Linked DNA regions of Drosophila melanogaster. The protein of the gene in region 1 interacts with the protein of each later gene in a pairwise test. Each region holds a gene or a part of one and is shown on either strand. Other genes may lie near its edges. The genes, in order: CG17377, teq and sol.

Region 1 (3,704 bases):
GATAGTGCTGCCTACACAGGCAAAAATATGCTTGCATTGACCCAATCAAAACGTAGTACAGCATTCAATTCAATTTTATAACATTTTCCATATAGAAATTGCTAAGTGTAATGAAATATATTAAAATGTTTATTATGTAGATAAAGAGATGCTTTTAAATGCTGTTACCTTTACACTACCAATTTTGTTATAGAACTAAAATAATAATCTTTCCAACTGACTTATAATTTGGAACCGTTCTTGGCGGCCAACAGGATATTGAGGACATCGTCGGCACAGCCCCAGCACAAAGTGACTCCACTGCCGCCATGTCCATAGTTGTGGATGAGGAGCTTGCGGCCGCGGCGCTCGGCTTCCAGTCGGAGTTGGGTGCGACCCGGCCGGAGACCTACCCAATCAAAGAGGCACTCCGTGTGCTCCAAACCAGGAATGTACCGCTGACAGCCATCGACGATCATCCGCCTGTCGTTCTGGCAGACTTTAGTGTTGTAGTCCCGCTCCTGATGGGTTCCGCCCAGGACAACACTTTCGGTGCTTAAATATTTCAGATATTGGAATACGAACAAATAAGTGTAACTGGCAAATACTCACTTGGGTATAATATAGTTGCCATCATCACTCTCGTCCAGCACGGCAGAGAAAATCCAGTTGGCCCTCACCCGGGAAACTTGGCCACGCACTGCGTACATTTGATCGTCGTTTAGTAGGGTCTTAGAGCCCAATCCGGAGCAATTGACTATCACATCGTACTCGGAATCGGCTACAAATGCATCCAGGTCTGTAATCCTTTTCCGGACAACAACACCTCCATTTCGGGTGAAACGCTTCATCAAATACGGCAGTAGCTTAATGGGCTCCGAGGTGTAGGTAACAAAGGATAAACCAGACCTAGATATGGTTTAGATATGTTCATATTTCAGCAAGTATAAATCTATGGATATCTATGAATATTCTTACGTGAACTTAACGCTGCGACCTTTATTGTAGGCAGCCAGCTGTTCCTTGGACAGATCCACTGCTCCATAGACAATGTCACGCCAAAAATCTTCGACCGTGTCCACCGTTGAGGTGCTCAGCCGAATGCAGGGTAGCAGACAAACGCCAGCCTCTCCGGCATCCTCGCTCAGCCAGATCTTCTCCAAAAATTGGTGCATGCTCTTCGACCACTTGCTGATGGAAAAAAAGTTATAAGTAAGAATATAATATAGTGACTAGTAAAACTTACTAGACTTTCGCCTGCGAAGTGCCGCCCAGAAGGTACGGACCCCAGAGACCAGCCGAACCATCTCCAGTTGTGTTAGGCGTGAAGTCCTCCGATATGATCGTCACCTTTATGGGTGTCTTTCCATCGTTCACATAGTGTTCCAGTATCTTAATGGCACTGGCAACACCATTAACCCCGGCACCGATAACTGCAATGTTAGGCATTGCTCCAATCCGATCAGCTTGGGAACTTGGAATGAACTGAAAAGAGGATCGCTTATCAGAATTGTAAGCAAATCGCATAATACAATTAGCTGATAACAGAGCTTTTAAAAAGAGCGAAAAAGCTTTTTGCATTTTGAATCTAATATTAACTCTTTCTTAAAATCTAGTAGGCTATAATTCCAACAAGTTGGCCTTGCATTTCATCTCAAACGGAACCGAATATGTGTGTTGGGATGTGTTGATCATTCCTCATTCGATACCAAACTCTCGGACCTTTCGTTTCGGCCAGCTTCTAAATTTTCCAAATTCCAAATTTTTCTTCCAAATTAATTTGACCAAATAGAGTAAGTTTATCCCGGGAAGACCATAGTATATTTTTAAATCCTTTGTCCTGTAGCGCTCGACGGGCTCAAGATGTGTGACGGATGTGGATCGTTGGAGGTGAGTAACCATATGCAACACACCACTGACCACTTGTGACCACTATGTATGCATCCTTTCCAGCCGCGCGGATGCCGCAGTCGGGAGTTACGATGCGGCATCATGTACACCACTTGCGACTGCGTGAAGCGGAACGGTCTGCAGGACAAGTGCCCGCGGTCCGCCTGCCAGGGCCGACCGGCCTGCCTGTGCTTCCCCTTCCCCACCTGCGGTCCGGCGGCATTCCCGCTGCGCTACGCTAACATGATGATGGGCGTGAACAATAAGCGTATGCGCTGTGCCGCCACTGGAGCACCAAATGGCGGTGCCGGATGCGGTGGACGCGTTGCCGGCGGCTGCTGTGGATGCGGTCCCTGCTGCTGTAATGTATCGCCCTGCTGTGGCCCGCACAGTCCTCCATGCTGTGGCTCGCACAGTCTTCCATGCTGTGGCCCGCACAGTCCTCCATGCGGAGCTCCGTCGCCCATTCCTTGCTCCTCTGCTCCGGGCATGTGCTGCCCTCCGCTGCCTGAAGGCGGCATTCCCGATCCGCGTGTCTGGAACTACTATAACGCACCTGTGACGTACCCATGTAAGTCCGGTCCAGGTCCGTCCACCTGTCCGCCTGTCTGTCCGTCTGCTTGTCCATCTGTCACGGCGCTGGGCGTCCGTAGAACGTAAAAACCATGGAGCGGAGGAGCACGAGGCATGCCCAAGGACTTTGCAGGTCACAGCATCTGGAACATGTGCTTGTGGTGACGCTTCATGTCCTTTTGCAGGAGCTTTATGCCCACTACGCTGATCCGTCAACAATGATAGCATGTCCTGGGCTTTGTGAGCGTAGAGGTAGGATCCATGGACCAAATGCTGTTGCCAGGCCCCAAATCCTTCATGACCCTTTGACCTCCATCCGCATCCTGTCGCGTGTAAGTAACTGCGATACCTTCTGCATTCACTGGTTTTACCTTTCTCATCCCACAGGTGGCTTATAAGTATTTCCTGGCAAGTGTTTCGATCGGATCCTGATATGGGCCACTTCCTTGGCGGGACATGTTGTCGTTTTGTGACGTAGTTTTGGTTGATAAAAAATTGAAGTTGGCTTAAATCAAGATTTAGCCAGCTGCGGAATACCCATTACTAGAAGGGCTCGAAGCTATTTGGGAACCCATGTGCAATTCGTCAGACGGTCTTGATTTAAACACAAAATCATATGTTGGTATCTGGAATCTATTTGGCATTAAATTACAAATAAACAAATTGAAATTATATTCTGTGTATTATGGGGGGTGTTAAAGGTTGCGTTTATTTTATGGCTGCACTTATGCTTCGAATATTTATATTTTAAGCCTGGCATTAGAATTGTAAATTAAGGTTGAAACCTTATGCCAAGGCCATAAAAATTTACGTTCATATGTCCCACAGATATTCTGATATTTATATTAATTAATATCAATTTTATTAGGGTGGGTTTCCGTGGCATTTAAGATTTAATTAATTAAAAGTTGAACTTTGCTGATAGTACTTTGTTTTAAACCCATTTTTTCGAGCTGGGAGAGCCATGTTCCAATCTTAGTGAGTTAGTTGACCTAAACAATTCGCGGGTCAAATATTTTGTTTTAGTGAATAAGGCAAATATAGATATATAATTATGTAGATCTGTGGCGATTTCATAATCTTTGCTAAGTCGAAGTAGGCCATGAAATTTCATAAAGTTGGCCATGACTTTTAAGCCAACCCGAACCGAAACTTGAACTGGATGTGCTGGGCCAAGGGAACAGCTAACCTCATTCGATATCTGACTCTCGGACCAGTCGCTTCGACTTCTAAATTTTTTTCTAAATTCCAAATTTACTTTT
Region 2 (3,753 bases), on another chromosome or scaffold:
ATTATTAATTTAGAAATTTCAAAGTGAGTAAAAATGCAAAGGAAATAAAAGTGTTGCTGTCGTATAAAATGACTGTATAAATTTTGTTATTGTTCTCTTATCAACGATTAAATGATTTCAAATTAATAACTGCATTTCAATGTTTCCTAATTTCGGATAGCAAAAAAAGCATCGTAAGTTAAGGGTTAATGCAACTACAATGCCTAGCTACGGCCACACTGATTGAAGCCGTGTTATGGTAACAATCAGCTGTTCACAATGATAACAACTCGCACTGCTGATTCTATATAGTTGTTTACGTTGATTATTAGTTTTATATTAATTAAAAATGTCAGCTTTGCTTCTTTTACGCACCTGTAGAAGTTCATCAATTGCTGGCATCTACAAATACACATACCAAGGAACAACTATTGCGAATCACACATGCAATCATCGTCTGTCGTCTACAGAAGCGGCGGCCGCGAGTGTCCAACTGGCAAATGCCGGTGGATTGGTGGGATATTGGCAGACCTTGTCCAACAGCACGCCGGTGGCCTATATGCAGGATGTTCTCATTAAGATCCACGACTACAGTGGCCTGCCCTGGTGGGCGTCCATCGTGCTGTCCACTTTCCTTTTTCGGAGCGTGGTCACCCTGCCTCTGACCATTTACCAGCACAAAATCACCGCCAGAATTGAAAAGATAGCGCTGGAGATGCCGGCCATTGTGGAGGAACTGAAAAAAGAGGCAGCCATGGCCAAGCACAAGTTCAAGTGGAGCGAAAAGCAGACTCAGATTGTTTATCGGCGTTCGGTTTGTTAAAATTCAAATGTTTGCGAGACACTCTTCGTCATGTCAATTATCTTACAGATCAAGAAGCAGTGGCAGAACCTTATAGTTCGGGATAACTGCCATCCCATGAAGACCATGATTGTGCTATGGGGTCAGATTCCCCTGTGGATCTTTCAATCCGTGGCTCTGCGCAATTTAGTGTACATGCTGCCGGATCCCACGTCCATTCAAGCTCAAATCGTGACCACCGAAATGACCATTGGCGGATTTGGTTGGATACCAAACCTTACGGTGGTGGATAACTCTTATATCCTGCCTGTAGCATTAGGTCTTATCAATTTGGCCATCATTGAAGTGCAAGCCATGTCTAGAACTCGTCCTTCTACACGCTTGCAGAACATCGCCAACAATGTGTTCCGTGGATTGAGTGTTGTGATGGTTCCAGTAGCCTGTACAGTGCCTTCAGCTTTATGTGTATACTGGGTAGCTTCCAGCAGTTTTGGCCTTGCTCAAAATCTGCTCATCCTCTCGCCGGAAGTGCGACGATCTGTGGGAATTCCCAAAACACAAACGGAACTCAGTGAGCCGTACGATCTGCTCTGGCTAAAAATACAGCAGAGGCTAAGACTTGCCGAGAGGGCGCCGGCTGATAAGCCGGCAGCCAAATGATCTAGTCTCTTAGTCATAATCACCTAGTCTAATTTGGGTATGACGTTTAGTTTGTTTAAATGCGACTGCGCCACTGTAATTCATCATCATCATTCTTAAGCTCCAACATCTCAGATTCATAGAAGTAAATAAATGAGTGAAAAACCCCAAAAGAAATGCAAACAAAACAAGGCGATAAGACAGCAAAAAGGTCTTGAGATTACAAGCCCTGATAGTGTGGTCCACTCAATTGGTTTGGCGACAAACGAGAGCATCTATCAGCGGCGGCAGAGATAGAGATTCATCCCGAGTCCAATTGAATTGAAATGCGATCTGGGTGTGGGTCAGTCGAGCCTGGAATTCGAACGGGATCACAACGAAGAATTTAAAGCGCGAGAAAAACAATTGTGTAGTTGCTATCAGCATCGGTGCATTTTAAGAAATATTTAAATTCAAATACTTATAAAGCGGAAACGTAAAATGATGGCCAAGTGGCTCCTTGGCCTTTGGCTGGCGATCCTGCTAGTGGATGTTAGTGTAGAAAGTTTATTAATAATTTCAAATTGTGTTTTTTAAGGATATCATCTAGATTCTAGATTATTTACAATTTTTTAAGATTTTAGTCAAACTAAAAATGTTGTTTAGGAATTTAAAACGCGCTTAAGACTTTAATTTTAATTGAACTTAATTACAAGCTATTAGCTAAATTTTGCCTCTAATTACTTACGGTTGTTCAATAATATTTCATAATTGCGCTTTTGACAGCGACCCGGGGCTAAAGCTTATCGATCAGGCAGTGGCTACCACAGCGAGCAGTCGGAACCAGTTGGCTTATCAGCAACAGGGAACGCACACTCGAGTTACGGAGGCGACCAGCAGCAGCCTATTTACCATCGGGATTCGGCATGCCCGCCGCATTTTACGGGTCTGGTTGCATATCCCCACGACTGTCATCGCTATGTGAACTGCTTCGATGGCAGCCCCACCATTCAGACGTGTTCGCCCGGAACTCTGTTCAATGACAGGACCCAGGTGTGCGATCATCCCAGCAATGTGGTTTGCCCTTCAGCGGAATCTGCATCTACTCGACTGGGAAGACTTAGGCAATTAGATAGTGAACCCAAGTGTCAACCGGGAGTGAATGGATTGCAACCGCATCCTTCGGATTGCAGCAAGTTTCTTAACTGCGCCAATGGTCAAGCTTTTATTATGGACTGCGCACCAGGAACTGCTTTTAGTCCAGCATCACTGGTATGTGTGCACAAGGATTTGGCCAAATGCGGATCGGGAACTGGAGCAGTACGAGATGATACCTCCGGCACCGGTACGTATGAGTGATTTAAATACAAAAATCTTGACTAACACTCGGTTAGGCTACCCTGCGTTGCCTTTTGATGACTTGGGCTGTCCACCCGGTACACGTGGGCTTCGTCCACATCCGCACGACGTGCACAAGTATTTGAGGTGCGGAATTGGGGTTAAGCCTCAGGTGGAACAGTGTCCACGGGGCCACATCTTCGATGGCTCCTCTTCGGTATGTGTGTATTCTGACTCCCCTCGGACCTCCTGTAAGTGTCATTTCATTTCTTATCCCTACTGCTTGGCCTCGCTTGATTCATCTGCTTTTTCATTTCGGGTTATTTTCTCATATTACGCTGTACACGCTTTGCTTGCCTGCTTAGTTGATAGACTCTAATCCTGATCCCTTTGAATTGTAACAGCTTCCTCCTTCACGTCGGCTGAGATTCAGGTCAACTATCTCTTGTGTCCAGTGGGAGCCGTTGGCCAATTTGTTCATCCCTTTGATCAAACAAAATTCCTTAGTTGTAAGGATGGTAAATCGGCTGTGCAAAACTGCCAACCTAATTATGTGTTTAGCATATCGAGGCGCTACTGTCAGTTAAAAGCACAATTAGCCTTTACCGACTATGTCACATTAATTATCTCCGAAATCAGCTATGAGTATTGTAAGTTACTTTATCATCACTGTACACTAGAATTTATGATAATATTTTACTAGCACTTATCCTTAATGCCTGTCCTGGTAACATCAACGGCATCTTCTTGTATCCCTACGATGCTAAAAAGTACGTTCAGTGCTCGTCTGGTGGCAGAATGTCCATCCTAAGTTGTGGCCCCCAGATGGCATTCAGTGTATCCCAAAGAAGTTGTCTTCCAAGTCATCAAGTGCACATATCTGATCGGGTGCAGTTCTGGCAGGAAGTCCAAGTTCAGACCACTTATACTTCTCAAGACTTACGGGGAAATGTTCAAAGCCAGCTGTCTTCACTTAGATCGTGTCCACCCAATGTCCAGAAGAATTACCCTTATCC
Region 3 (3,753 bases), on another chromosome or scaffold:
CCGTACTTGAGCATCCGTTGCACGCAGAACTGGGCGTATTTCGACTGGCACATCTCCACGGTGAAGGGAAGCAGCTTCTCAGAGATCTCGGCCCGCAGAGCTGGCGACGCGTACTTTAGCATGCTCTGGATCACGCGGGCGGTGTCGTGGGCCTTCACCACCTTTGAAATAGTGTCGCCCACGTTGAGCACCTTGTATATCTGCTCCACCAGCTTGTCCTTGTTCTCCGTTCGGCGGCTGCAAGACAAGCACCAAATTATGTTGATATATATATATCAGAGCAATAGGATTTGCGCATTCATTAGTTGTAATTTTACGAAAAAAAAAAAAAACGCGACAGAGGATAGAGCTGGTTTGTTTATGACCAAACAAAACAGCATGCGCTAAATAGGCGTCTTTGGAATCTACGCTCTTGGTTCTAACTCAACATTTATACAGAAATACAAGGCTATATTAACTTAGTTTTGATACTGATCAAAATGCTTAACTAGCTATTATTGTTTCAAGAACATGAATAAAATGTTTGGTGTTTTTGAATTCGAACCAAGTGGCAATGTTCGGTTTTTCCACGAACAGGTGCTTCGTTTTGGGATCCACATGGCCATGTTTATCGATATCTTGTCCTTTAAGGAACCAAAATGACTTATAATTATTAAAACTATATCGTATAGATTGATGCCTTATGAAATTTAAACAACTTTGTACGTTCTGAATGTACATAAGTGCATGAAAGAGCCCGATTTTGTTGAGCTATCATAATTTGTATAGGTAATTTGAGCGCTAAGGATGATAATAACCGATTGTTTGGGCTGTTCATCGTGTTTTTGGGGATGCTCACCATCGCAACTTCTCGTGGATCTGGTTGGCCTCCTTGCTGATCTCGTAGGTGTCCTTGGCACTCTTGCGCTTCAGCTTGAGGTCCTTCTTCTCCTTCTTGAACTTGTTCCAGTCCTGTTTCTCGCCCTCCGCCGGCGCCTGTGGCTGTGTTTGTGGTTTTCCGCGGAACTTGTTGCCACCAAGCCTCTTGTCGCCGGTGGCTCCGGATTTGTCAAACTTCTTGAAGCCACCGGGCCCAGACTTGTCGAACTTCTTGGCACCACCAGCGCCTGGCTTTACAAACGACTTGCCTGCTCCTCCGCCGAATTTGTCGAACTTCCTGGCGCCTCCTGCTCCACCGGGCTTAAACTTCTGTCCGTTGGCGCGCTTGCCGGACGATTCATGGGCCTTGAGGGGCGAGGCCGTGTTGGCCACGTTAGCAGGTCCTTTCGGCTCCGAGCTAACCATCTTTGCTGCGTTTTCTTGGACACTACAACTAAATAACAGCAAATGTTTTTGCCAAAAAAGCGAACTACACGTGCTGCTGATGCAGAGTGACCAGATTGTTGCAGTATACCCAAGCTGTGTAAATACCAAAATCTGGTATTTTCGTTCCACATACAGTAAGTATCAATGAAGTGCTTCTATTTGTTTAAAATTTAACTCAAGTTAATGCGTTCAGTTCAATTTGACTTTCCATTTGAAAGCGGCTAAAAAATAATAATCCATGTCTAAATATTAAATTTAAACTCTTCCTAAACTAAGCTCCTCAATGTTGATTACTTGTTATAGAAGGTCAAATAATTTTATGCATGTATTTGCGTCGTTTTATGAATATATGTATGTATTCATTCCCAAAAACATATTAGAATTGGTCTAAAAATTGAAGGTACCGATTTTTCATTAACGGCACTTGCCAACACTGGCTTTGCGGGGTAGCAGCCGTGTTTCTCGCGCTGGCAACCCTGTCCGGCAGAGTTCACGCACTCGGGCAACCTTGTCGTTGGAGGTGTTCGCGAACGTCGACAACCCTAGCGGCAACAGTTAAAAAATGGTGTGAAACGGCGACGGAGAACGCGGCGTGCAACTGTTGGAAGCCACTGCTTGGTCCTCGTTTTGGTCCCGGGTTCTGGTCCTCCTATTGATCTCCATCTCCGCCCGGCCACCAGCTCGAAAGCGCACCTACACATCATAGTTTCCATAGACAGTCCCAGTTCCACATCCACTCCCCCGCCAGCCAGCCAACAACAACAAAAACAACAACAGCAAGAGAAACAACTCAGAAGTCGAAAGGAATCTGGGAACTCCTGCGACTCCCCCGCGCAATGGGCACCATCTCATCCGTGCTGCAGTGGTCGTGCACCAAATGTAACACTATCAATCCCACGGAGTCGCTCAAGTGCTTCAATTGCGGCACCGTCCGCAAGGTGTTCCCCCAACAACAGCAGCAGCAGCATCGCAGCAGCAGCATCACCGCCTCCTGGACAGCTGATGATGCACTGGAGCAGGAGCAGGCGGAGAAGGGGCAGGAGAGGGACAAGGAGAAGGGCAGGGCGGCGGTTGCCAGGTAAGCGAAGCGGTCGCCACAAAAACAAACAGCCTGTATGCCTCCTCTGCGAGGATGTGCCTGTGTGTGTCTGTGTCTGTATGCGTGTGTGTGTGTGTGTATGTGGGCGCCAGTGGTGGCATCCAATTGGAGGACAAAAGCGCTAGCTAAAATCATGTCGCATATGGTAATGTGTATAGAAATCGGTGGCGTTTTCAAATCCAACTTTTTTCGCACACACATTGTATGCACACTTTGGAAAATATACAAATACACAAATATGTACATACTTTCATCGGTAAAATTCGTCAATCAAAAACCTTAACTTTCAAAGAATAATAATACCAAAAGCTTACCAACGTAAGCTCCTATGCTGAACTTTAATATCCAAAGAGCAGACCGAGTAAATCTTAGTAAATTTTATAGTTCTCACTAACCCTTTTGTGCATAATGAAACTTAAAGAATAAGAAAACAATGAAATCGGTTAGGAAAATCCTGATTAACTATCCATAGGAATAACTCGAATGGGAGTATAGGAATAAGTTGAAAGATTTTTATATTACGAACTTAAGTTTCGAAAGGCTAGGAAAAGGTACAGTGTGTACAAGTACACAGTTCAAAAGTCTAGCTTTAAAAGCCAAGCCGTCGGCACTGGTGATTGTCCCTGAGCGTGTGTGTGTGTGTGTGTGTGTGTGTGCGCGAGTGTGTGTATGTGAGAGCATGTATACACAGCAGAGGCAGAAGCAACAACAAAACAGCCGAGGAGCAGCGAGAATTGGGGAAAATCGATTTGGATAAAGAAGCATTGTTTACAAGTTTATCGATTCGCGAACTCGCTCGGCGATCTGAAGAGCAAAAGAGGTGTAGGAACAACTTCCGAGTCGAGCGGACGAGCGGAGAGTAGGAAAATGGCCAGTCATTGAGATAACCTTTGCGGTCAGGAAGTGGGGAAAGCCCAAACAGCTCAAGAACACCGAATCCCATCCAAACCCGACGAAAAACGAAAAACCCCATTTCCCTATTTTGCAGGAGCGAGTACAAGCATGTGTACAAGTCCCTGCTGCGCGGATGCTTGAAAAGACCACAGCGGAACAGCCAGAATCTGCCCGCCAACTGCGTGGATTGCGAGGACACGCGCAAGTACATCAAGAGCTCTATTGAGCTGTACCGCCACTTCTCGAATCCGGCCCTGAATCGGCGGTGGGTGTGCCACGCCTGCGGCACGGACAACAGCTCGGTCACCTGGCACTGCCTCATCTGCGACACGGTCAGCTATCTGGCGCCCATTTACAAGGACGCCATCGCCGCCGACCGAGGCCAGGATCTGGCTGGCAGCCTGGGCAATCGCGGCGAGCTGCTGGCGGCGGACCATTCACATCCACATCATCAT

The links.
Region 2: the proteins of CG17377 (region 1) and teq interact in a two-hybrid assay, tested with the Drosophila melanogaster proteins (one large-scale study listed by BioGRID).
Region 3: the proteins of CG17377 (region 1) and sol interact in a two-hybrid assay, tested with the Drosophila melanogaster proteins (one large-scale study listed by BioGRID).

What each region holds. Positions count from the first base shown.
Region 1 is NT_033779.5:6,800,776-6,804,479, reverse strand, and holds CG17377 (uncharacterized protein), read left to right. Parts: upstream 1-1,690; 5' UTR 1,691-1,772; intron 1,773-1,825; 5' UTR 1,826-1,842; coding exon 1,843-1,869; intron 1,870-1,932; coding exon 1,933-2,529; 3' UTR 2,530-2,627; coding exon of another isoform or gene 2,628-2,629; 3' UTR 2,630-2,772; exon of another isoform or gene 2,773-2,774; intron 2,775-2,829; coding exon of another isoform or gene 2,830-2,840; 3' UTR 2,841-3,102; downstream 3,103-3,704. Other genes in the region: Daao2 (D-amino acid oxidase 2), read right to left, coding at 222-534, 592-888, 958-1,170, 1,226-1,428.
Region 2 is NT_037436.4:9,072,879-9,076,631, forward strand, and holds the start of teq (tequila), read left to right. Parts: upstream 1-1,764; 5' UTR 1,765-1,900; coding exon 1,901-1,951; intron 1,952-2,185; coding exon 2,186-2,744; intron 2,745-2,793; coding exon of another isoform or gene 2,794-2,988; intron 2,989-3,141; coding exon of another isoform or gene 3,142-3,387; intron 3,388-3,440; coding exon of another isoform or gene 3,441-3,753. Other genes in the region: CG4942 (uncharacterized protein), read left to right, coding at 329-793, 851-1,441.
Region 3 is NC_004354.4:21,348,468-21,352,220, forward strand, and holds the start of sol (small optic lobes), read left to right. Parts: upstream 1-1,812; 5' UTR 1,813-2,141; coding exon 2,142-2,383; intron 2,384-3,167; exon of another isoform or gene 3,168-3,294; coding exon of another isoform or gene 3,295-3,299; intron 3,300-3,392; coding exon 3,393-3,753. Other genes in the region: peng (penguin), read right to left, coding at 1-237, 839-1,284. UniProt on the Drosophila melanogaster protein: Has a role in eye development. Calcium-regulated non-lysosomal thiol-protease.